3 linked regions of the Oryzias latipes genome follow. The protein of the gene in region 2 binds, or shares a complex with, the protein of the main gene of each other region. Links are inferred from orthologs where the notes say so. Each region holds a gene or a part of one and is shown on either strand. Other genes may lie near its edges. The genes, in order: ipo13, ran and sirt2.

What was found.
Region 1: the proteins of ran (region 2) and ipo13 are in contact, whole or in part, in a crystal structure (PDB 3ZJY), measured with the Homo sapiens proteins. The link is inferred for Oryzias latipes from reciprocal best matches to the Homo sapiens genes RAN and IPO13. Residues at the interface, in NP_006316.1 of Homo sapiens: Lys37, Lys38, Tyr39, Leu43, Gly44, Val45, Val47, Pro49, Trp64, Gly74, Leu75, Arg76, Asp77, Gly78, Tyr79, Ile81, Gln82, Asn103, Arg106, Asp107, Arg110, Val111, Tyr147, Trp163, Arg166; in NP_055467.3 of Homo sapiens: Leu33, Tyr34, Tyr35, Ile39, Lys42, Gln46, Leu49, Met50, Gln53, Glu73, Tyr76, Phe77, Ser80, His83, Ile84, Ile118, Thr121, Arg122, Val125, Val172, Glu175, Glu176, Thr179, Ser414, Asp415, Arg784, Asp785, Pro787, Asp788, Pro829.
Region 3: the proteins of ran (region 2) and sirt2 are in contact, whole or in part, in a crystal structure (PDB 5FYQ), measured with the Homo sapiens proteins. The link is inferred for Oryzias latipes from reciprocal best matches to the Homo sapiens genes RAN and SIRT2. Residues at the interface, in NP_006316.1 of Homo sapiens: Phe35, Glu36, Lys37, Lys38, Tyr39, Val40; in NP_036369.2 of Homo sapiens: Phe96, Arg97, Glu116, Phe119, Gln167, Ile169, His187, Ile232, Val233, Phe234, Phe235, Gly236, Glu237, Ser238, Leu239, Phe244, Gln265, Val266, Gln267, Pro268.

The regions. Positions count from the first base shown.
Region 1 is NC_019862.2:26,618,073-26,624,294, forward strand, and holds the end of ipo13 (importin-13), read left to right. Parts: intron 1-488; coding exon 489-670; intron 671-1,295; coding exon 1,296-1,395; 3' UTR 1,396-3,254; downstream 3,255-6,222. UniProt on the Homo sapiens protein: Functions in nuclear protein import as nuclear transport receptor. Serves as receptor for nuclear localization signals (NLS) in cargo substrates.
Region 2 is NC_019868.2:13,951,935-13,959,911, forward strand, and holds ran (GTP-binding nuclear protein Ran), read right to left. Parts: upstream 4,577-7,977; 5' UTR 4,486-4,576; exon of another isoform or gene 4,396-4,485; intron 4,229-4,395; exon of another isoform or gene 3,842-4,228; intron 3,645-3,841; 5' UTR 3,632-3,644; coding exon 3,587-3,631; intron 3,508-3,586; coding exon 3,423-3,507; intron 3,049-3,422; coding exon 2,923-3,048; intron 2,840-2,922; coding exon 2,652-2,839; intron 2,551-2,651; coding exon 2,380-2,550; intron 2,235-2,379; coding exon 2,190-2,234; 3' UTR 1,845-2,189; downstream 1-1,844. UniProt on the Homo sapiens protein: GTPase involved in nucleocytoplasmic transport, participating both to the import and the export from the nucleus of proteins and RNAs. Switches between a cytoplasmic GDP- and a nuclear GTP-bound state by nucleotide exchange and GTP hydrolysis.
Region 3 is NC_019871.2:17,930,779-17,938,395, reverse strand, and holds the end of sirt2 (NAD-dependent protein deacetylase sirtuin-2), read left to right. Parts: intron 1-748; coding exon 749-797; intron 798-2,019; coding exon 2,020-2,130; intron 2,131-2,200; coding exon 2,201-2,242; intron 2,243-2,321; coding exon 2,322-2,428; intron 2,429-2,527; coding exon 2,528-2,584; intron 2,585-2,664; coding exon 2,665-2,733; intron 2,734-2,810; coding exon 2,811-2,940; intron 2,941-3,011; coding exon 3,012-3,071; intron 3,072-3,176; coding exon 3,177-3,232; intron 3,233-3,309; coding exon 3,310-3,386; intron 3,387-3,483; coding exon 3,484-3,535; intron 3,536-3,632; coding exon 3,633-3,700; intron 3,701-4,685; coding exon 4,686-4,752; intron 4,753-5,154; coding exon 5,155-5,283; 3' UTR 5,284-5,888; downstream 5,889-7,617. UniProt on the Homo sapiens protein: NAD-dependent protein deacetylase, which deacetylates internal lysines on histone and alpha-tubulin as well as many other proteins such as key transcription factors.

The sequences.
Region 1 (6,222 bases), on a different chromosome or scaffold from region 2:
TCCACACGTTCTCCTGCTGGCTTACAGCCCCTCACAGCACCAGGCTAACATTACTGGTGCAACAAAAATTGCGCGCAATAGTGGAGCTGTGCAGTTTTGAGCCAGAGACGATAAAAACAAAGACCTACATTGAGCAAATTGTCTACAAGTGGATCATCAGAATGGAGCAGTGCGGGGAGCTTGTGGCCTGCTGTAGTAGACTCACTACAGCAGGTGGTTGTGGTAGTAAACACCACAACCACCAAGCATTTTTTCTTACAACATTTTTTCATCTGTTCCAGATTTACAACAATTTAAATAAAAAAATACTCAGAAATGCAAATTTAAGCGTAATTTCTTTATATATGACCTACATCATCAGAAAGATGCCACAAGAACATGTTAAAAACACCAAAAACCCATTTTTCATTGGAGTGGGCCTCTAAGCTGATCCTAATTTGACCTCATAGCGGTGCATCCTCTTTGAACTTTCTCTCTCACCTCTCTAGGGAATTGGAGGCGGAGCTTCTCGGAGTCTCATGGACCAGTTTGCAGAAGTGCTGTTTAGCCTGAACAAGCACTGCTTCTCCCTGCTGGCTGTGTGGCTGAAAGAAGTGCTGCAGCCTCCTGGATTCCCATCATCACGCATCACCACTGAGCAGAAAGTCAACTTCTCCCAGCAGATACTCAGGTAGCTCAGCAGAATCCTTGCTCACTTGCTTCAGTACCAATGGCTGTGTCCAAATTCGAGGGGCTGCATCCTTCGACGGCCGAAGCCTTTGCGGGCGACGTTAACCCGGTCCTTCGTCGAGCGGGTTGACCGGCTGTGAAATTGGACGAGTCTAGGCGTTCGATAATTCCAGCCGTTACATCGGCGAATGTCATGTCGCCTAGTCCTCTGTGAGTCCCAAACACAGAGGACTAGTAAACCAGGCGTGGAGCTCAAAATGTTCCTGGCTTATTTGATCCAACTTTAAATCTTGGAGGTGTAATTCTAAAAATGTTTAATTATCTCCAACTCCGGGTTCCGCTTCACAGTCCACCATTATTGTCAGAAAATCTCCAGGTTTGACCGCAATGCATCTTCTATATGGACAGCACAGAGGGATACACCAGACCAATCCTTAAAATCGAAGAAAATCAAGGCTGTATTCGTTGAATTTGGACAGCACTTGTCGCGCCGCGGTGACGTAAGCAGCTTTCAAATGCAGCCCAGGAGGAAAGCAGCTCTCAAATTTGGACACAGCCAACTTCTCAGGCTTGTGGCAGCAGGTTCATGGGTGTAGTGGTAACGGTTTGCTTTCCTCTACCTCAAGCAGAGAACGGGTGAACAAGAGAAGGGTGAAGGACATAGTGAAGGAGTTCACACTACTGTGCAGAGGTCTCCACGGTACAGAGTACGCCGCCGATTACTGAAACTCACTCCTGGAAACTCTCACCTGCGACCTCTGATCTCAGCGCAAAGCAAGTGGAGGCCACAGCCAAACAATTCGATCCCCATGATCCACCATGAAATGATTGTAACGATGATCCACCCAGCCGCTGGACCAAGTATGGAACCATTCCAGCACAGACCTGCCATTAGAACAACAGACGCTCAACCCCAGGTTGCTCCAGAGCAGCCACCTTCTCTCCTGCAATTGTTTTCCCGTGATAAGAGCTACCCCCTCTTTTCCATCTTGGAAGAGGTTTTGCTGGAAGAGCTTTGAGCAGCATGTACCTTACAGCCCCCCCCCCCCTTTACACCCGACTCTTTCTGCCTGTCTAGATCTTCCTGTGGTTCCTAGGTTGTTTCCTGGTGTTTAGCATCCATTTGAAATGGTAGTAATATTGTACGTAGATACTTTACATTAATTTCAATGGTAAACAAAGTACATTATATAAACGTATATGTATGCACATATAGAAAGACAGTGGTTCTTAGTCCTGCTGCTGCTAAAAAGGGGGGGGGGGGGTGAAGGAACAATGGTTAGGGGAGGAGTCCGCTGTTTAAAATGAGTCAAATACTGTTAATTCCCATTTATGGCCATGTGATCTCAGCATTTGCCAAAATATATGTTTTTTTTGGTGAACTTTTAGGTATTTTTTAAAAGAGGACCCTTTGGTGTAAGAATCAAAGAAGATGACAACGTTTGGACTAATCCAAGTACAAACCGAACTCTTTGTGTAAGGAACTGTAGATCCCCGTTTTCAAACTGCAGTCTCCTTGCGTCGGAGACGCTCCCTAAGGCGAAGCAGGGACTGCCTGGAGCGACGCCTGAGGGGAAACGGAGCAATCCCAGTAATTGACAGCGAGAGGAGAAAGAGCTGAGCTTCTGGACGGATCGGTTCACTTGGCAGTGGACCGCTTAGTCACTGTAATTGTGCAAAAATATTAATCAACTTGTGCATATTAACAGTTATTGCTGAACACTTTGAGTATATGAGTGTATGAATGCTTGTATGTGTGAGAGCAAATGTGGCTCTTTTTTTTTTTTTTTTTTCCACTTCTTCAGTGCACTTATAATGGACCTACCAGAACCAATGCATCTTCTTCCTCTCTTCTTTTGTTGAAGCATCTTGTTCATTTCTTCGCCGCAAACTGAGTCGGCACATTCAGCCGCAGCGATCCACAGCGTCGTGTCGGTAAAATCTTTGACCTCCAGGCTTTCTGTTATTGATGGCACTGATAACAAAATCCCTGTGATGAGCCACCCAGATTTCCCTTCGCCCATTTCAGTCACTGTCTTTGAGAAGAGCAAGAGTTGAGGGAGAACCTTCCCAGAGCCCACGTTCCCCACCCTTCAGTTCTCATTCATTTCACCTGAGACTGTAATATACACTGTTTAGTGAATCAGCAGAAACGGCTGACGACGTGTAACACTCAGCGCCTACGTTACTTTACAGCTCCAGAGATCACTGTTCTCAGCTTAACCCTTCTGTCTTATCCAAGGTGCCTGCAGACATGTAGCATGTAAGTGTTAGTGGTGGGTGGGGCTAAAGGGACAAATGAACTCAGAGTGGACAGAGGTACCAAAAGACTCCACGCAAAACGCAACACCTGAGGCAGGAGTCCAGTCTGAAGTGAGCCGTTCGGCTCCATTCTGAATCTATGAATGTCCTGATGTTCACCACTGATCCTCAAATCTGTTCTGTGGTTCTAGCTTGCAACGAGAAACTGACCAGTGTTTGTCTAAGATAAATGGAAGAACTGTGTGGGAGGAACAAAATGTACAATTTTTTGTTTTTGTTTTTTGTACCTTGACTTTAATTTATTAAATATATCCAAGACTGTATCAGATTTTTCGTTGATTTAGTTTAGATTACATATTTATGTTTTAAAAAGACAAAATAATTGCAAGGATCTAGGGAAAAATTATTCAGAGATCTGCATGAAACAACACACTTCACCAATAAAAATAAGATGAATTTGTTTAAGTGCAGGGGGACTAACTAAATAGTTTAAACTTTAGTTACAGATATTGACCGTCTGAATTACATCTTACCCACTATGGGGCCATCATCACTTAGCAAAAGTTAGTACACTTAATTTTATTTTTTAAATAAATGTGAATATAGCAAGTTTACTATAGACCAGGTGTCTGCGACTTTATGATTTGGAGCCACATGAGGCTCCTTTATCCATTTTGGCTCTTTGGCTTTAAACAAATGTTTGAATTAAAAAATAGATTTGTAGTTTTGGTTGATTTGTCTTAGTTAATTAAGTTTAACTTAAGTTAATTGTTTTTAGATGTTTAACATGTTAAATTACTGAGCAAAATCATTGTGAAAGGGTTTATTCTTCTGTCCCAGTGGTTTATTATTAGAATAAGTACATTTTATAATTCCTGCTGCACAACAGTGTCTTATCGCCACTTAGAGGCAAATCTCTTGAAATATAATTATATTTACATGTATGGAGTGTACATAGTGAGTGTTTATGTTCTAAAATGGATGATGGAATGTAAAAGACCCCGACCGCAGCGCCAGCCAGAACCCCCCCCAACACCCGCACAGCAGCAGATAGAGAACAAGCGCCCTCAGAGCGATCACATCCGCCACCCAGGCCAGGGCCAGCAGGGGACCCAAAGCCAAAGAGCAGGGGAGGCATGTGGGGGGCCAGAGAGTGCATGCTCCAGCCCAACCAGGAGAGCAGCCCCCTCCGCGCTGGGAGGGCCCAACGCGGGACCACACCCCAGAAGACCGCCCACAGCCCCAGACGAGCACCTCATCACCACCCAGGAGTTCTGGGCATCCCCCCACCCCAACCCCGGGTACGAACCAGGACCCCCCCAAGGGAGACCCGCCCCGCGCTCCAGGCAGCCACCCACCCGGCCCACGGTTGGTCAAGGAGTGAGCAAGGCAGGGACCAGCCATCCCTGCCCAGGAGGAGGACACCCAGTGGAAGAGGGGGTCTTGAAGAAGTGTTGTCCCTGCCCCTGAGGCCCAGTGCTCATGGGCAAGGACCAGAACCCACACCACAGGGACACGGACACCCCCGGCTCAGATGTGATCCCCGGCTCTTGGTCTTGCCAGAGAACTCATCCCCCGCCCCATCGCCCTAATAAAAGATTATATGAGGTAAGGGGTAAGTCGGGGAAAGCTGGTAGACTGTCCCCCGGTGGTCAAACAGCCCCCCCCCCTGGCATAGGACTCAGGTCTCCTCAGCCCAGGGGTCCCATCCCCCGAAGCGCCGACCCCCCAGGCCCCACACTACCCACCCCACACAGAGAGAGAGGAGCCTGAAAGCGCCGCCGCTCCCGGAGAAGGCACCGGCCCCCGCCCCCAGGCACCACCCCTGGGAGAGCTCTGTTCAGGCCTCAGCCCCGACCTGTCAACCCCCCCCCCCCAGGACAGGGCCAACAAGCTGGGGCTGCTTTGCTGCATCTGACACAGGGTGTCTTGAAGTTGTACAAGGTAAAATGAAATCTCCAGATTATCAAGGCATTCTGGATAGAAATGTGCTGCCTAGTGTCAGAAAGCTTGGTCTCATTCGCAGGTCATGGATCTTCCAACAGGACAACGATCCAAAACACACAGCCAAACACCCCCCCCACGAATGGCTAAGAGAAAAGTGTTGGACTATTCTGAAGTGGCCTTCTATGAGCCCAGATCTGAATCCCATTGAACAATTGTGGAAGGAGCTGAAACATGCCATTTGGAGAAGACACCCGTCAAACCTGAGAAATCTGGAGCAGTTTGCTCATGAGGAGGGGGCCAAAATACCTGTCGACAGGTGCAGAAGGCTCATTAACAAAATATTATATACTATATTTTGTTTTTTTGAGAAAAGAATATAAACCCAGACGTTAGAATGGCAGAAAATGTCCTATTTTACTTTGTTGTCTTTTACTTTTCTTTTTACATTTACTGTTGTCAAAAAGTTAATATTGTTAAATATATATTAGAAGATTTCACTGTTTCAATTCAGTCATTGAAATATTTAAGAACTACATCTTAAAAATGAATAGCTTAGTAACCCAAAAACCTAAATAAAGTGTATATTCGTACACAGTGAATTTTGCAGCTCCGGGTAGGTTTTGCTCAGGAAAAAATCAGATCAACTGGCTCTTTAAGGTCCACTCTGATCATCTTTGATCTATTGTAAAAGCGTTCCTAGTGGTCTTTTAATTACGACTTTTGGCGAAAATCTAAAAAATCGGTGTAATTTTTTAGGACTTAGTTTCTGCAGAGTGGCAGTAGTTTATTAGGAATTCACCTCTGACCTGTGGGCGGGTGTGAAAGTACGCTGCTGGTTATTTCCCATCATGCCTTTGTTTAAACTCACTCCCGCTATCAACGGTGCAACAAAATGGCGAGGAATATCAGAGATATCCAGCCAGACATTTTAGAGTCAGATTCCATCTCATACAAAAAACAAAACAAAGATATACATGAATTTATTTTTTGTAAGTGGATGCATCAGAATAGAGAGGAGCAGGGAGGTTGTGACTTGCCGTAGAAACCTCCATGTCAGACCTACAAGCTTTGTCTAATGGCATTTTTTCATCTACTTCTGATTCACAACGATTTGAATAAAGACTTTCTCATAAGAAACGTTCAGGTTTTGCACAGCACAACCTGCACATTAGCATAAGAGGTTTACGTTTTAAGTAGGTATTTATTTATTTGTATATTTTAGTTAGTTGGTAAGTTAGTTTTTTACAGCCACTCGTGAAAATCTCCCAAATGAAATCAATCAGCTTGCACTATCGTACGGTTCTCCCGTGATGCGTTCAAGGTCTTCCTAAATTTATTAGACCG
Region 2 (7,977 bases):
CCAGCATGAAGGTCCCCACAGTTCAAGTCCCAATCTTACTGTGGGGAGTTTGCATGTTCTCCCCGTGCATGCATTCTCTCCAGGGTCTCCAGCTTCCTCCAAAAACATGCTTCATAGGTCAATTGGCAACTCTAAATTGTCCCTAGGTGTGAGTGTGATTGGAATGGTTGTGATTGCAGCCCTGCGACAGACTGGCATCATGCAGGGTGTCCCCTACCTTCGCCCACAAAACGGCAGAAGATGAATATAATAATATAAGCGACAGTGTGGTCACACACTGATATTGGTCAAGAAGGCCTGGCTCTCAGTCTCCGCTCTGATTCATCCTGAAGGTGTTTTATTGGGTTCAGGTCAGGACTCTGTGTAGGCCAGTGTAGGCACTCTGACTCTGTGCAGAACTGTCATCCAGTGCACCTTGGTTTGTGCACTGGTGAACAGTCATGTTGGAAGAGGTAGGGCCTGCTCCAAACTGTTCCCACAAGATTGGGAGCACGAAATTGTCCAAAAATGTTTTGGTGTCCTGAAGCACTCAGAGTTCTTATCACTGGAACTAAGGGGCCACGCCCAAGTCCTGAAAAACAACCCCACACCATGATTGCTCCTCCACCAAATTTCTCACTTTGCACAATGCAGTCTGAAATGTACAGTTCTCCTGGGAATGTGTGCCATGCAAAAGAGTGATTCATTACTCCAGAGAAGGCGTCTCCACTGCTCCAGAGTCCAGTGGCGGCCTGTTTCACACCACTGCATCCAACACTTTGCATTGTGTGGCTTGCATGCAGCTGCTTGGCCATGGAAACCCATTTCATGAAGTTCTCCGAGTACTGTATTTGGGCTAAGCTGAAAGTTACATGAAGTTTAGAGCTTTGTAGCAATCGATTGTGCAGAGAGTTAGTGACCGCTTTCCACTATGTGCTTCAGCATCCATGGACCTCTCTGTCAGTTTACATGGCCTACCACTTGGTGGCTGAGTTGCTGTTGTTCCCTAACTCTTCCATGTTGTCCTGATAGAGCTGACAGTTGACTGGGGAATATTTAGGAGCGAGAAAATGTCACCACTGGATTTGTTGCAGAGGCGGAATCCTGTGACAGGAGTTCACTGAGCTCCTGAGAGCGGTCCATTCTTTCACAAATGTTCTTGAAAACAGTCTGCAAGCATGCATGCTTGATTTTATACATCTGTGGCCAGACCAAGTGATTAGGACACCTTAGTCTGATCCTTTGGTTGGGTGAGCCAATACTTTTGGTAATCTAGTGTATGATAAAACATGTCACTGTTGTCAGAGGAACAATAGCTACACCCATCTGCACTTTATGCAACACCTCAGGCAAGTTTAGGCCTCTGCAAATACATGAACACAATTGCCACCTAGTGCTCAAAATGTTAATAGCTCAAGAGCACGAGTTCCAGGAAGCAGTCTTCACTCTGTGGTGTGCACATACTTTTGCAGCAATTAAATGTTTAACTGGAAAGATCAGCTCAGTCCTTTCATCGTTTTAGTCACAAAATATTGCTTTAGTTCTTTTAGAAATGGAACTTTTAGTGCCAATGTCAGAGTCATCAATCCATCATCTTCAGAACTTGATGAACCCTTCTCAGGGTCACAGGCTGCTATAGGCAATAGACAAGCTAATAAAACAAGTTTTCACTATTTGAGCCGCCAGTTATACATCTTTAAATTCCTTAACCAAAGAATGCCTAAAAGCCTTAATACTTTTAAAGGAAAATAGGATTGAAGAGCAATTAAGGTTGAAAGTTTTTTATAAACAACTATCATTGAGATTATTTCACATTTACATGTACTATTTAGGAAACAAAGATATTAAGCAAAAACAAAGTCAAGTCAATGTTTTAATGACAATATTTTTATTCAAAGTTTATTCCCCTTAGTGCTCCCAGTACACCGTACAACAGCATTATGTGAGTTGGGTAGATGCAGTGGAGAGTGCTTGATGAAAAGTAGCACGTTGCCATGCCAACAACAAATCTGGGATGGGCTTGTCCTACAATGAAATTAGAACGACAACTTTTGCACAAAGTTTTTTTTTCTTTGTAAGTTTTAAAACAAAAAAATTCAAAAATAAAAAAATCTGAAAAGGGATTTTACAGTAAAGGGGCAAAACAACTTCCTGTCCACAGTCAGAGAGAGAAGGGTAAAAGGAAAGGGTTAAGGAAAGCGGTTCCCAGGTTAGAGGTCATCTTCTTCATCTGGGAGTGCTGTCTGTGATGCAACCTGGAAAACAAAATAATGTTTAAGCACCCAACAGGAAAACAGAAGCAGAGCGTGTATATCGTTCCTTTGTGACATTTATTGTTTTTTTAATGAATGCACATGATGATTAATGTGCAATATGAAAGAAAAACCGTGTACTACTCACCTGAAGTTCTTCCTCGTATTTAGCGGCAAGGTTGGGGTCCATAAGGACCTCTGGGGGAGCAAGGGCAGGCATTGCCACAAACTCCAGATTTGGATCACCGATCAACTTCCTTGCTAACCACAGGAAGGGCTTCTCAAAGTTGTAGTTACTCTTGGCAGAAATGTCATAGTACTGGAAAAAGAAATTAAATAAGACAAATACAAATGAGTTTGTGTAAATTCAACACAGAGACACTGAATAATTAAAAAAAAAAAGAAAAGAAGCAATTTTACCTGCAAGTTCTTCTTGCGGTGAAACACGATGCTCTTGGCTTTGACTTTTCTGTCTTTGATGTCTACCTTGTTGCCGCAAAGGACAATGGGAATGTTCTCACAGACACGGACCAAGTCACGGTGCCAGTTGGGTACGTTTTTGTAGGTGACCCGAGATGTGACATCAAACATGATGATAGCACACTGAGCTGTTGATGGGACAGATAAGTATCAACTTTAATATTCAGAGGTCACACGCACAAGACAACCTCTCTGAAAATAAAAGGAGCACCTTGAATATAGTAGCCATCTCTCAGGCCCCCAAATTTCTCCTGACCAGCTGTGTCCCAGACATTGTACTTGATGGGTCCTCTGTTGGTGTGGAACATCAGTGGGTGCACTTCGACTCCGAGAGTAGCTGTAATAGAAGAAGACGCGTAGAGGTGTCATCGAAAGCACAAAATATTTTAAAATCAAGACAAAACCATATTGCTTTTAAGCGTGGCTCATGGGTTTATCTGCAATACCACATATTGCTAAACAGAAAATATTTACATTAATACTTTCAAATGCAAACTTTGAGCTTTTTGACTATTTTTAAACCTCCGTGTCACTAAACGCGACACCCCAAGTAAAATATTGGCTATTATATACAATCAAAGATTTGAATGATGTTCCAGCACATTCTAACTCAAAAATAGTATTGGGAACTTCCAACTGTTTCGGTTTGTACAGCAATATCTAAAAAGATGAAAATATTGTTTATCTGTAATTACAGTGGAATATACTCACCTACATACTTCTTCTCAAACTCTCCTGTAATGTGTCTCTTCACAAAAGTCGTTTTTCCTGTGCCTCCATCTCCAACCAGCACCAACTGTTGAGGAGACACTGCATTTAGCATTTACGAACACTGGGCAACAAATAAACATATCAATTGCTATGACATAACTTACCTTGAAAACTGCAACTGGTACAGACTGCCCCATTGAATCAGCCATGGCTGCGACTTTTCTAAGTAAAAAGAAAGGCGGGATGAATTTGTTAGCATGCTAGCGGTCTGCTCGGGTTAGCATTGGTCACATTAGAGGAAATTAAATATGACTAAACGAAGAGCTACAACCGTAATTATTTGTGGAATTTACGGTCTGTAAGTTTAAGAAGAACCGGGCCGTTACCCGCCTATAACTTCTAGCATGTTCTATACACACCAGCAAGTGTGTAGCAATGCGTTCCTCTTTTTAGTCGAAAACATAATTAACGAAAACGGGTCAAAAGAATACGGCATCATTAAATAAAAACAAACCTGCCCTAAGGCACAACGTTAAAATCGATGGTTACCAACTAGCTCGAATGCTAACAAGCACTAACGTAGTGCGCCATATGACGCGAGAGCGCACTTTTTCTTGTTCGGCTAGAACAATTGGTCTCGATACGCCACAAACGTGTTCCCCTCTGTAAACCGGTTCGAATCCGACCTAAGCACGTTTTTCACGTGCAAGTCATTTACGGTATTTTTAAAATCTAATATAAGGATACAATCAGACGATTATGAAAAAGCACACAGAAGTCCCCTTAATAACTGCTAGCAAACGCGAGCGTTAGCTTAGCACCGTGGGTATTCTTTTCAACGGGGCCAACTGCTAGCTTAGCTTAGCTAGCAGTTGGCACACAGAAATACAAAAAAGAAACACGAATAGCTTGATTGGTTTCTCTGAGTACACACATCACATGGCCTACACAAACGCGTGAATCCTAATCCTACCTCAACGTATTTTTCTCTATTAAACCCTTTAAACGGGTACAAAGTTGAAAATATGGAATGGCCTGCGGCAGCAAGTGATCACAGACTCACCGGTGTAACTGCAGCGAGAGGAAAGACTAAATGGCCGCGTTCGCGGGAGATTCAGCGTGGACTATGAGTCAGTTTCCGCCCTGGTCACGTGACTCACTAAACGGTTTGAAAAGAATTACCTTTTTGAGTTTGGGTTCTAAATACAGTTTAAAAAATATATAGTTTAGTATATTTATATATGTATATAATGTAATGTATAAATATAGCAATAATATAATATATAAATATTAAATATATAAAAGTCTGCTATTAGTTCTTTATATTCTCATGAATGCGTCCTTATATTTTTATTTTAAGACAATGATGCAATGCAACAAACAAATGAGCACAACATTTTCCAATGTGCTTTATTTTAGTGTCATAACTAGTCCTAAATAAGAGTATTTCACATTTTTCAAACTACACAGTCAGATCAAAGTGTTTCCAGACTTTGTATTAGCCTCATTTTGTATAAAAATGTGCAAATTTAACACTTATAAGTTTAACACTACTCATCTGTACAATATATAATATAATTTGTGCGTTTTTACGATTTTAAATTCTGACAGGAAAGCAGCAGACCTAAAGGCTTTGTGGCTCATATAATAGTAAAGTAAATGCTTTTAATGCAGTAAAGCCTAGTAAAGACTGCAGATGCAAAAGGTTTATCTGTACAAGTAGTCTGCTTGTATGTTGGCTGCTATCTCTGATTCCCATCGGTCCCCATTGTTGAGCAGCTTCTCTTTGTTGTACAGTAGTTCCTCGTGGCTTTCTGTGGAAAACTCAAAGTTTGGACCCTTAGAGAAATTTAAAGAGAAAAGGACAAATGTAAAAAGAAATACCAGACATTCAAACGTGAAAAACCACTCTGATCGCCAAACAAAAGAAAATCGCGATAAAAAATACAATACTTTTTCCTACCTCAACAAAAGCATCAACAGGACAAGCTTCCTGGCAGAAACCACAGTAGATTCACTTTGTCATGTCAATGTCATAGCGAGTAGTTCTCCTGCTGCCATCAGCTCGAGTCTCAGCCTCAATAGTAATGGCCTTAGACATGAGGAAACAAAAGATCAGACCAGACAAGCAGTTCTTGGTATAAGAAATCTTTACTTCAAAGGATAAAGGGCTGTAAGAGCCCAGCATGTCGTGTGCATACTGAGTGTTAGTCAAACGTTAAAAAAAATGCTACAGAAAAATATAGTATGTCATAAGCAAAATTGAAAGACCTGAAAATATTACTTAACATCAACTTTGGCATTTCTCCACCACCAGCCTGTAAATTTTGTAGTATTTGTAGATATTTTATTTCCTTTCCTTAACTTCCACTTCAGTCAGATCAGCTGATCAGCTGCTCTGGGATGAACCAAGGTCAAAGTGTAAGCTCTGGGGGGCCAGAGCTTTCGCTGTTGCTTGCTCCAAATGCTCATTAGACAGTTACCTGCACTATTTATTTGTATAACCTGCCAAAAAAAAGCTTTTCTTATGTAGCATGTCATTCATTTGAACAATAGAATAGAATAGGATAGAATAGAACAGGACAGAATAGAATAGAAGAACTACACAAGACAGAATGTATCACACTGAATTAAAATACAAGTAAAACACAAATTCAAAAGCATTCGATAAATGCAGACCAGTTCCTTTTAGTTTTTTTTTTAGGTTTATTTTTACTTATTACATCCTTGCATTTTGAAAGACGATGCTTTTATTCTTGTCATTTATCTTCCTGTCTGCCATATGTCTATTTCTCATTTGTTGACATGTGCATCATTTTATTTACAATAAAAATGTAAAACACTGTTAATTTGCGCTCACCTGAGCAGGGCAGATGGCTTCACACAGTTTACAGGCAATGCAACGCTCTTCTCCATTAGGATATCGGCGAAGGGCGTGCTCGCCACGGAACCGTGGCGACAGAGGGCCCTTCTCGAATGGATAGTTGATGGTCGCAGGCTCCCGGAACAGGTAGCTCATAGTCATCCCCAAACCTGTGAGGAAAAAGTGGACAAAGGAATCAAACAGAACATCAGCCAGACACTGTGTACTAATAATTACAGTATGAGAAATGGAAACGGGAGACTTATCAATAACATCAACCCAATCCTTCAGTTTTCTTAAACACTTTCTGCTCATTAAAGTTGAAATAATTAAGATCAGTAGAAAACCAAAATGCATTAGGTATGCTGAGGTGCAAACAGTATGTGCATCTGTTAATGTATGAATAGGTTTGTTTTGTTTTGCATAATGCCAGTTTGTAAAACATGTTTACTGGGAATCTGAATTGTCTAGCTTTTACAAAACGCTCCATCTTTGCTAAAATCAAAAAGGAGTGTTACCTCTAAAGAGTTCAGTCCAAAGCAGGGTTGTGGCAGCACGGTCAGTTATAGATCTCAGATCAGTTGGCAGCTCTTGGGCATTGACATACTCTGCAAGAAGATTAGAGAGGAAATTACAGAGTGCTTTTTAAGGATTTATTAGACTTGGTCATTATTCAGAAAACACCAATAATCTGCAGTTCTTTTTTGTTGTTGTTGTTGTTGTTTTTTGGCAACACGTACTATAACCGCCTCTCTGCACGCTAACACTTAAAGTTCGCATGATGACACCGGGGCCAAATCCAAAAATACCTGCAGAGAGAGAGAGAGCCAGAGGAATGGAACTGAATCACTCACTGTGATGATGTTTAATGCATGCGGTTCGGTACCTTGCTCAGAGCAGCAACGCAGAAAACGCAGACTCAGTGAGGCAGACATCTGCGGGGATACAGACCAGACCAAAACACACATACGAACTTACAAAACTTAGTGTTAAACCACAGAAACCTGCAGACGGGGGAACACAATTTGAACAAAGTCGTTAATCTGGGGTTCCAAATCCGTGAGAGAACTTCAACGTCATGGTGCATTCAGGAAACACAGGATAATCGGAAAAAGTAGCCCTCGCAACATAACAGCACTTCATTAACACTACAGAATTATAGATTAACAGGCAAACAAAAATTTATAGATTTTTATTGATTTATCTTTGATCCTCATTGTAAATAAGTAAGAAAGGATAGTTAGTTAAACTGCTAAAAACTAGCCTAAAATATACCTAGATATTTATGGCCTCTACACTCATTTTAAAACATTTTAGAACAGCACACATGTCTCTTAAAGATTTATTAACGTATTCCTAAATATGTTTATTTAGATGACTCCTGTTTATCGAGGTTTTTCACTGCTTGACCTGATTTAGACTTCATTTGGCACTCAGCCTTTTTTCACTATTGTGATAGGTAAATGTTTTGGGATAATTCAGACAAGATAGTACAGATTCCTTTTTTAAAGTCTATACCAAAAACCAATAGTTTTAAAGTGCATGTTTGTACACAAATTTCCCACTGAGCTATAAAAACGGGCAGCAGTCCCTGAACTGTACATTAGATAAGTTTAAGGGGCGTCTTTATTTCATATTTTGCTCTGTTGTGACACCTTAAATGTCACTTTTGACATTTCACAAGTCAAAATC
Region 3 (7,617 bases), on a different chromosome or scaffold from region 2:
ACAGTAGGAACACATTCTAAAATGAGCTCATTAATGAAACACATCTTCGTTTTTCTCTCGTAATTTAATGAATCAGGAAGCATCATTGTGCCTGTTTCTGATTAAAGTCGACATCTTTTCTCGCATTAATGATCAGTTAAAGCTCGAGTCAGTGAAAAGTTCGTACATCGTACTTTCTGTCTTCATGTGGACGAATCGTCCTCTGAGTTTTCACGTTAGTAGGATTTTGACCCAGGTCATTCCGCCCTGGATTTAAGTCTTTCTGCATAAAGACAATGAGCTTCAAAATAAAAGCACAACTGAAAACAACAAGAAAAAAAACAATCTATAGATGAGAAGCAGACCTTCACTGAGGAGCTTAGCTCTTTCTTACAAAGAAAAAAGCAGAGAAGGTCAAGCTGTCATACGGAACTGTTTTAAACATAAGAATCTGTAGGAAACTTAAAGGAAACCCCAATCATAACTGAACCAGAGGGCTACTTTCTCAGAGTTACTGTCAAGAAACGCAGTCTTCAGCTGTGGGGAAGATTTGAGACTGAAGCAAGAAAGATATTTCTAAGACATTACAACAACCTTTAATATCAGAAATTCAACTGTAAATAATCAGAGATTCCTGCTCTAACCAGTAATGTATGTAAAAACATTTTGCATAGTCAGCACTTCTTGTACAGATCCTATCCACACAGAGCAGCAGACACGAGCATCAGCAGGTAGAACCCAAACCAAAACGTTCTTTCTGGTTCTGCAGGATCTGTCGGACGACAGCAGTGACGACGAGGCGGCAGCAGGAGCTGAGAGTACGTTCTCCTCTTTTCTGTTTCCTTTGTTCTTTTTCTATTCCTCATCCTGCAAACACCAGTCCAGCATTTATCGTTACTGCACGCGTCCAGGTGAGTGTTTATGGTGCCTCACCATGCTGTTATAGGATGTAGAGAAGAAAACAAAAGGAAAGGCCTGCTCTGGTCGCCCCCACACCAAGGCCCCCCCCCCTGGATGGCCAAGCAGGAGCCGTGTCATCCCCGGCTCATGGCATAGCCAGAGATGTCAGGGTTCCCCCCCTCCCTGAGTGAAGAGCCCAACACCCAAGAGACATAATCACCACTGCTGGATGGCTGCAGCCCCGTCATTCCCAGGCTGCCTCCGCTAGACCCCGCCCAGTCTTTGGCACCCATGGGCAGTTTACCAGGAGACAGGGGCCCTTGTAAAAGGGTGCCTGTCGCTGGGCCCCCCCTACACACAGAAAGACCAATCACTCCTGTGTGTTAGTCCTCTAAGAACATTACCGTATTTTCCGGACTACAAGTCGCCCTTTTTTTCATAGGTTGGGTGCGACTTATACTCCGCAGCGACTTATATTAGAAATAAATTGAAATAAATACATTGTTAACCCTCCTGTTATGTTCATTTGTGAGGAACAGAGATGATGTTCCTGGGTCAATTTGATGTATGAGGTATGTTAAGTGTTAAGAGGATGTTAAGTGACTCAGAGAATCAGCAAACTTTTTTTTACAATAAGACCTTGAAGGCTAACAACATAATATTCTATTTTCCAATGATTTCATAGATTCAGAAATGCAATAAAAATGACTACATTCTACAAATACAGGATTAAAACAGAGTATTAGTTGGCCAATGATGCTTCATGAAAAGAATAAATAAATAAGCATGAGAAAGAATTACTGTGAAATTATGAGATAAACAGTCTGCTATGATTGTGTCATATGAGTTTGTGCAAGTTATTAGTTCTTGGTCTCAGATTTTGTTAAATAAATTTCCCGTCAAAATGCGACTTATAGTCCAGTGCGACTTATCTGTGTTTTTTTCTACTTTATAATGCATTTTTGGGCTGGTGCGACTTATACTCCGGAGCGACTTATAGTCCGGAAAATACGGTAGTTCCGGTCTGTGTAGAACTGAATCCTCACTGTTTTGGTCTGCTGCGTTCAGGTGCAGGGATGCAGTTGTCTTCTCATTGGTGTGTTTTTTTGTGTGTGTGTGATTCTGCTCTGTTCCTTCCAGTGGACTTCCTGCGGAACCTCTTCTCCAGCACTTTGGGCCTCGGCTCTGCAGAGAAGGTTCTGGATGCTCTGACTCTGGAAGGAGTGGCTCAGTATATAAAGAGCGGCAAATGTGAGTGTTAATGGGTCTGCAGATGTAGGTTCGCTTTCACACACTCACAGGTTTTGTTTGGATCACGCAGGTAAAAACATCATCTGCATGGTTGGTGCAGGAATCTCCACATGTGAGTATTTAGGCTTTGTTTATTTTTGTTGACATGTTTTTGATGATGTAAACACTGTGTCCATGTTTTTCCTCTGAAGCTGCTGGAATTCCAGATTTCCGTTCTCCAGAAACCGGCCTGTATGCAAACCTGCAGAAATACAACCTGCCTTACCCAGAAGCCATCTTCCAGATAGATTACTTTAAGGTTTATGGAGGACCTCATGTTATATTAACACTGCCATAATGTAAATATATAATATATACAATGAAGAAAAACATCCATATTTGAACTGTTCTGTTTCAGAAACATCCAGAACCGTTCTTTACTTTGGCGAAGGAGCTCTACCCAGGACAGTTTAAGGTACAGCTCCAGCCTTCAGAGTGAGAGCCCCCTGGTTGTCACGTCTTTCACATAGTCTGCGCTCTTTTGTCCATCTCCAGCCAACCATCTGTCACTACTTCATAAAGTTGCTGAAGAACAAAGGCCTCCTGAGACGCTGCTACACTCAGGCAGGAAACCTGCAGCATCTTCTCCCTGAAGCTCTGTTGGGGTTCCTTTGCCTTATGGTTTGGGTTTCTCCATGCAGAACATCGACACTCTGGAGCGAGTTGCAGGTCTTGAAAAAGAAGATCTGATTGAAGCTCATGGGACCTTCTACACCTCCCACTGTGTCAGCTTCTGCTGCCGTAAAGAGTACAGCCTGGACTGGATGAAAGGTTTGGTCTTCACTCAAAGATCTGTTGGATTTAGACCTCTGGACTCTAAACTTTAGAACTTTGCTTTGCAGAGAAAATCTTCTCTGATGCCATTCCCAAATGTGAGAAGTGCAACAGTTTGGTGAAACCAGGTCAGGTCCTGATGTTTGATCCTGCTGTTTAAAATGGTTTTGGTCTATTGCCATCATTTTTTTTTTTTTTAATATTTTCGGCTAAAATTCCTTCACGTTGAACAGACATTGTTTTCTTTGGGGAGAATCTGCCGGCGCGTTTCTTCACATCAGTGAAGATGGTGAGATCATCACGTTGCTTTCAACTACTTTGAATTGAGATGCAAAGAAATGGCATTTTTGTGTCCACATTCTGTAGGATTTCCCTCGCTGTGACCTTCTGATTGTCATGGGGACGTCTCTGCAGGTGCAGCCGTTTGCAGGTTTAGTCGGCAGGTATGGCGTTCGTCCTGCAGGGTCACCTCCTCACAAAACTCACAGGAAGCTGTGGATCAGATTTAAAAAAAAAAAAACACTTTTCTTTGTTCTTTAGGGTTTCCAAGAGTTGCCCCCGGTTGCTTATTAACATGGAAAAGGCAGGGGAGGTAAGCGTTTTCAGCGCCCCCTGACACTCCTTACACCTGTCAGAGCCACGGCGGTGTGGGAGTGGCTTCATGGTGGCGTTCCTCTCTGCTTCTGCAGGCTGACCCCATGCTGGGGATGCTGGGATTTGGAGGAGGCATGGACTTTGACTCAGACAAGGCGTACAGGTGAAGAACTCATCCAGCGGATCCAAACGGATCTTTCCCTTACATCCCAAATGGGTCGCGTCTGAAGATGTTTGAAGGTTTTTCCTATAAAAAAAAAAAAAGGGGGATGATGGGATCTCTGTAAACTTAGTTTATGGATTTTATTTTTCAAAAATGACTGCAAGTAAACTCCCATCTTTACGTTTGAGCTTCCTGTCAGTAGTTTTTCCGCGTCTCTGGACTGTTCTCCAGTGACGGAGAACTTTGTAGGTTCACGTCACTGTTGATGTTGAACGCCCCACGAAACACCTAAAACATGGACAGATGTTTTTCCAAAAGCAGATTTCTTCGGACACTGATCAATTTGACAGTTAGTGATTTTGGGCTCCGGCCTTTAGGGAAATCTAGCGTTCTAGTGATGGTATGCCCCGCCTCCAGGTCAGCTGTTTTTTGTGCTGTGAGCCAGAAAACGTGACAACACAAAGTGAAACCTTGTCTCTGGACAAATTCAGTTTCTTTAAAGATGAACATTTCTAAATGTACAGCGGGGAGGTTTACTAAGAGGAAATTCATGTTGGTCCTTTTATTTGGAGCAAAGATGTTTTGAGGCTTCATCGTCCTTGTGGGGCTTCACATGTGTTCTTAAATAAAGAACTGTGTTAGAGAAATTCTGGATTTTCTTTTTCAGGAGATCCTGTTTAGATTCAGAGAAGATTTAGGACCTGAGATGATCAACTCCACTTCACTGAAAAACTCTGTGACGTTTTTCTTCTTTGTCTTAGTTTTATTTGTTCACATCTGACTTGTGTCCTGAGAACGGCATTTTCAACCAGGATGTTTTTTTTCTTTCTTCAAAATTCTTTCTTTCTTAAATTACATTTTTTTCTTTCTTCAAAATTCTTTCTTTCTTAAATTAAAAACGATAACTTTTTAATTTTTTAATTCTTTTTAATTGAAAGCGGAAAGCCCTGGGTTTTTACTGCTAACGGTCGGTCGCTCTCTGCAGGGATGTGGCTCACATCAGTTCCTGTGATGACGGCTGCCTGGCTCTGGCTGACCTGCTGGGCTGGAAGGTATCTCCTGCTCCTACTCAGATCCTCTCTGAACTTTTTTCCCCACAGAATCCAGAAAGCACCTTCCTGCTTAACCACTGAATCGACCCATTTGTTTTGGTTTTGTTTGTTTTTAATAAAGAAATACAAAAAAATGCCAAAATAGAACTGCTTTCAAGCGAAATAAATTCATAAATATATAAACCAGTATTTCTCTTATTCAGTGAAGTTTGATTGGATTCATTGATTTATATAATTTATAATAGTTTTTTTAAGGTTCATTGAAAAAAAAAAAACGGCAACAAAATGAACTTTTCACTGCTGCTAGTGTGTGTAACTTTCAGATGATGTTCTTGAATGAAGCTGCTTTCCTCTGAGCACGGCACATATAAGACTCCATCTTCTGCCGTCTGTCCTCCACAGGCCGAGCTGGAGGCTCTGGTGAAGCAGGAGCACGCTCAGATCGACAGTAAAGACAAGAAGGAGCAGCCTGGAGAAGCTGGAGGAGCGGCGGCCAAAGCCAGCTCGTCCTCTGTGAAGCCAGAGGAGTGACCTCACTTAAGCCGACGGCTGGTATCTAAGTTGGATCAAGACTTCAGGCTGATGTCAAAATTCTAATATCTTTTGCACTTTTGTGACTTTTCCACGCTTTCTGCTGTCGCTCATCATGTGACTGCAGCCCGCACAGTTATGCTTCCTGTTTGACTAAAACTGAAACCAGGTGAGATGGTCTGCAGCTCGTTTGACTCTGCAGTGAGACGAACATAAAAATCAAAAATTTGCTATTTATAGCATTTCAAAGTGAAACTGTTTACATCCCAAATGTTCTTTGCAGAAAAGTAACTCTGTTTTTCTTTAACTTAGTTTAGTGATTTTTAATCATATTTAATCTCTTTAACTTGAAGTGTTTCATCGTCTCTTAATTCTGATGCTTATTTCAAAAAGTCTTGGTTTGAAGAAATGCAGCAGGTTTTTATAATAAATGTAAAAATAAGACATCGGCAGAACAGAATTGAAATTGAACAGAAAAAAACTGTTGAAACCCAAGATCAGAAAAAACATAAGCTTCGATGAACTGAAATTATCAGCAACTGAAGCTGAGATCCAGGTTTGTGATCGACTAAAGCAAAACCTGCAATAAACTCAACCTTGGTTCAGTTTTCTTTGTCCTCTGTTTATCCAACACACCCATACATTGATTTGTAACAAACTTTATCTACCCTTTTTAACCTGTTTGGGCTCAAAAGAATTTTCTACATCATTTTTACTTTATGGGAAAATAGGTTTGGTTACTTCTGGGCTTTTAAAAACCTTCTAAAGACCAGGAAGTCCCTCCTTTGTTCAACTTATTGTTTCAAAGTTTGAGTCAAAACTTTCCAAGCAAAAATCACACCTACTTTAGTCATCTGAAGTGAATAAAGCAGAGTTCAGGGACCAGGAGCTATTGCATTGTGGGATTGGATGTTCTGAGTTCTCCCCCACAAATTGAGAAGATAAAGAGAAAACTTAATGATTTAAAGAAATCCAAATTTGGAAACTAAATCTATGCCAAATTGAAAAACAACAACACTGACCGCGTTTATACCAACCTGCAACAGATTGAAAAGTCACTTTTGGTTTTTCATGGATGGAAAAACTTCATCCATCCTTTCGTTTTAGTGAGAAGACCGAAGCTGAATTCGGATGATCAGCTCTAGATCTCCTATTCTCACACTCCAATAAATCACGAAAACATGAAACATTCTCAAACTAAATAACTACTCTTCATCTCTGACAATGGCACCAGCACAGTTTCTGCTTTCATTCATCTGACTCCAGAGGAACTCTGAAGGAGACACCAATGAACCTTAAATTTAAAGTAATCTAATGGAGCATAAGCATCAGAAATATCAGCTGCCTGGTTTGATTCATGTTCTGACTGAGAACATTTCAGCGCCAGGGATCTCCGGTAAAGATAAACTCACCGAATTAATGTCTAAGACGGACGAGTTAAATTAAAGTATTTGACGTATGCACCTCTCTGCAGCTCCAGGGCTGTTATTGAAGGAACCTCCTATGTAGTTCTTACGTAGGAGGCTCAAACTGCGGTAAAGAAGAACCCAGAGATTCTTCAGAATGTCAGTGTTAAAGCGGTTCTGGAAGTTAAGGTTCTGAGCTAAACGTTGGTTAAAGCGCATTAACATGAATACTAAATCAAAAGAGAGACTTATTTTTCTGTTTAAAGTTTGTTGTTAAAATCACAGCCTCTAGTTCTCCAAGCCTTTCTACATGAATGTTGTCCGTTGGTGGAGGAGACAGCAGAACATTGTTGGGGATGACCGATTCAAAGGCACCTGGAACTTCAATGAAGAGCTGATGGGGGGTGGGGGTGGGTGGGGTGAAGGCACGATGATGCTCAGACATGCTGGTTCAGCAGATGAAACACGCCTAACCTCAGACGTGGACATCCTAACCAGATCTGTGATGACAGGAAGGAGAAGATCTGCTCTGATAAAGCTTATTCTGGACTGTTGCATCCTCCGGTCCTCCATGTCTGCAGCCTCTTTTTACAGGAAACACCTCCTGTCTCAGAGATGGTTTGAGGAGCTCTCTTATAAATGAAGTGTCGGTTTGTATTTTCCTTAAGCTTTCCTCCAACTTTTGCAGCTCGCTGCTAGTCCTGAGGTCGGACCGGACGTCCATGAGGGCCTCTTGGGTTATGACGTCTTCCTTGAATCTTGTTGCCACAGAGATGGACAGGGTGCGGTTAACACTCTGAACACGAGGAGGAAATGGAACCTGAAGGTTTGCAAGACAGTTTTCCACCAAACTGTGTTTTTTTAAAGAGTATCTACAACCGTCCCTAAAAACTACATGAACTTCAGAGAAAATCTCGGGTTCTGATGC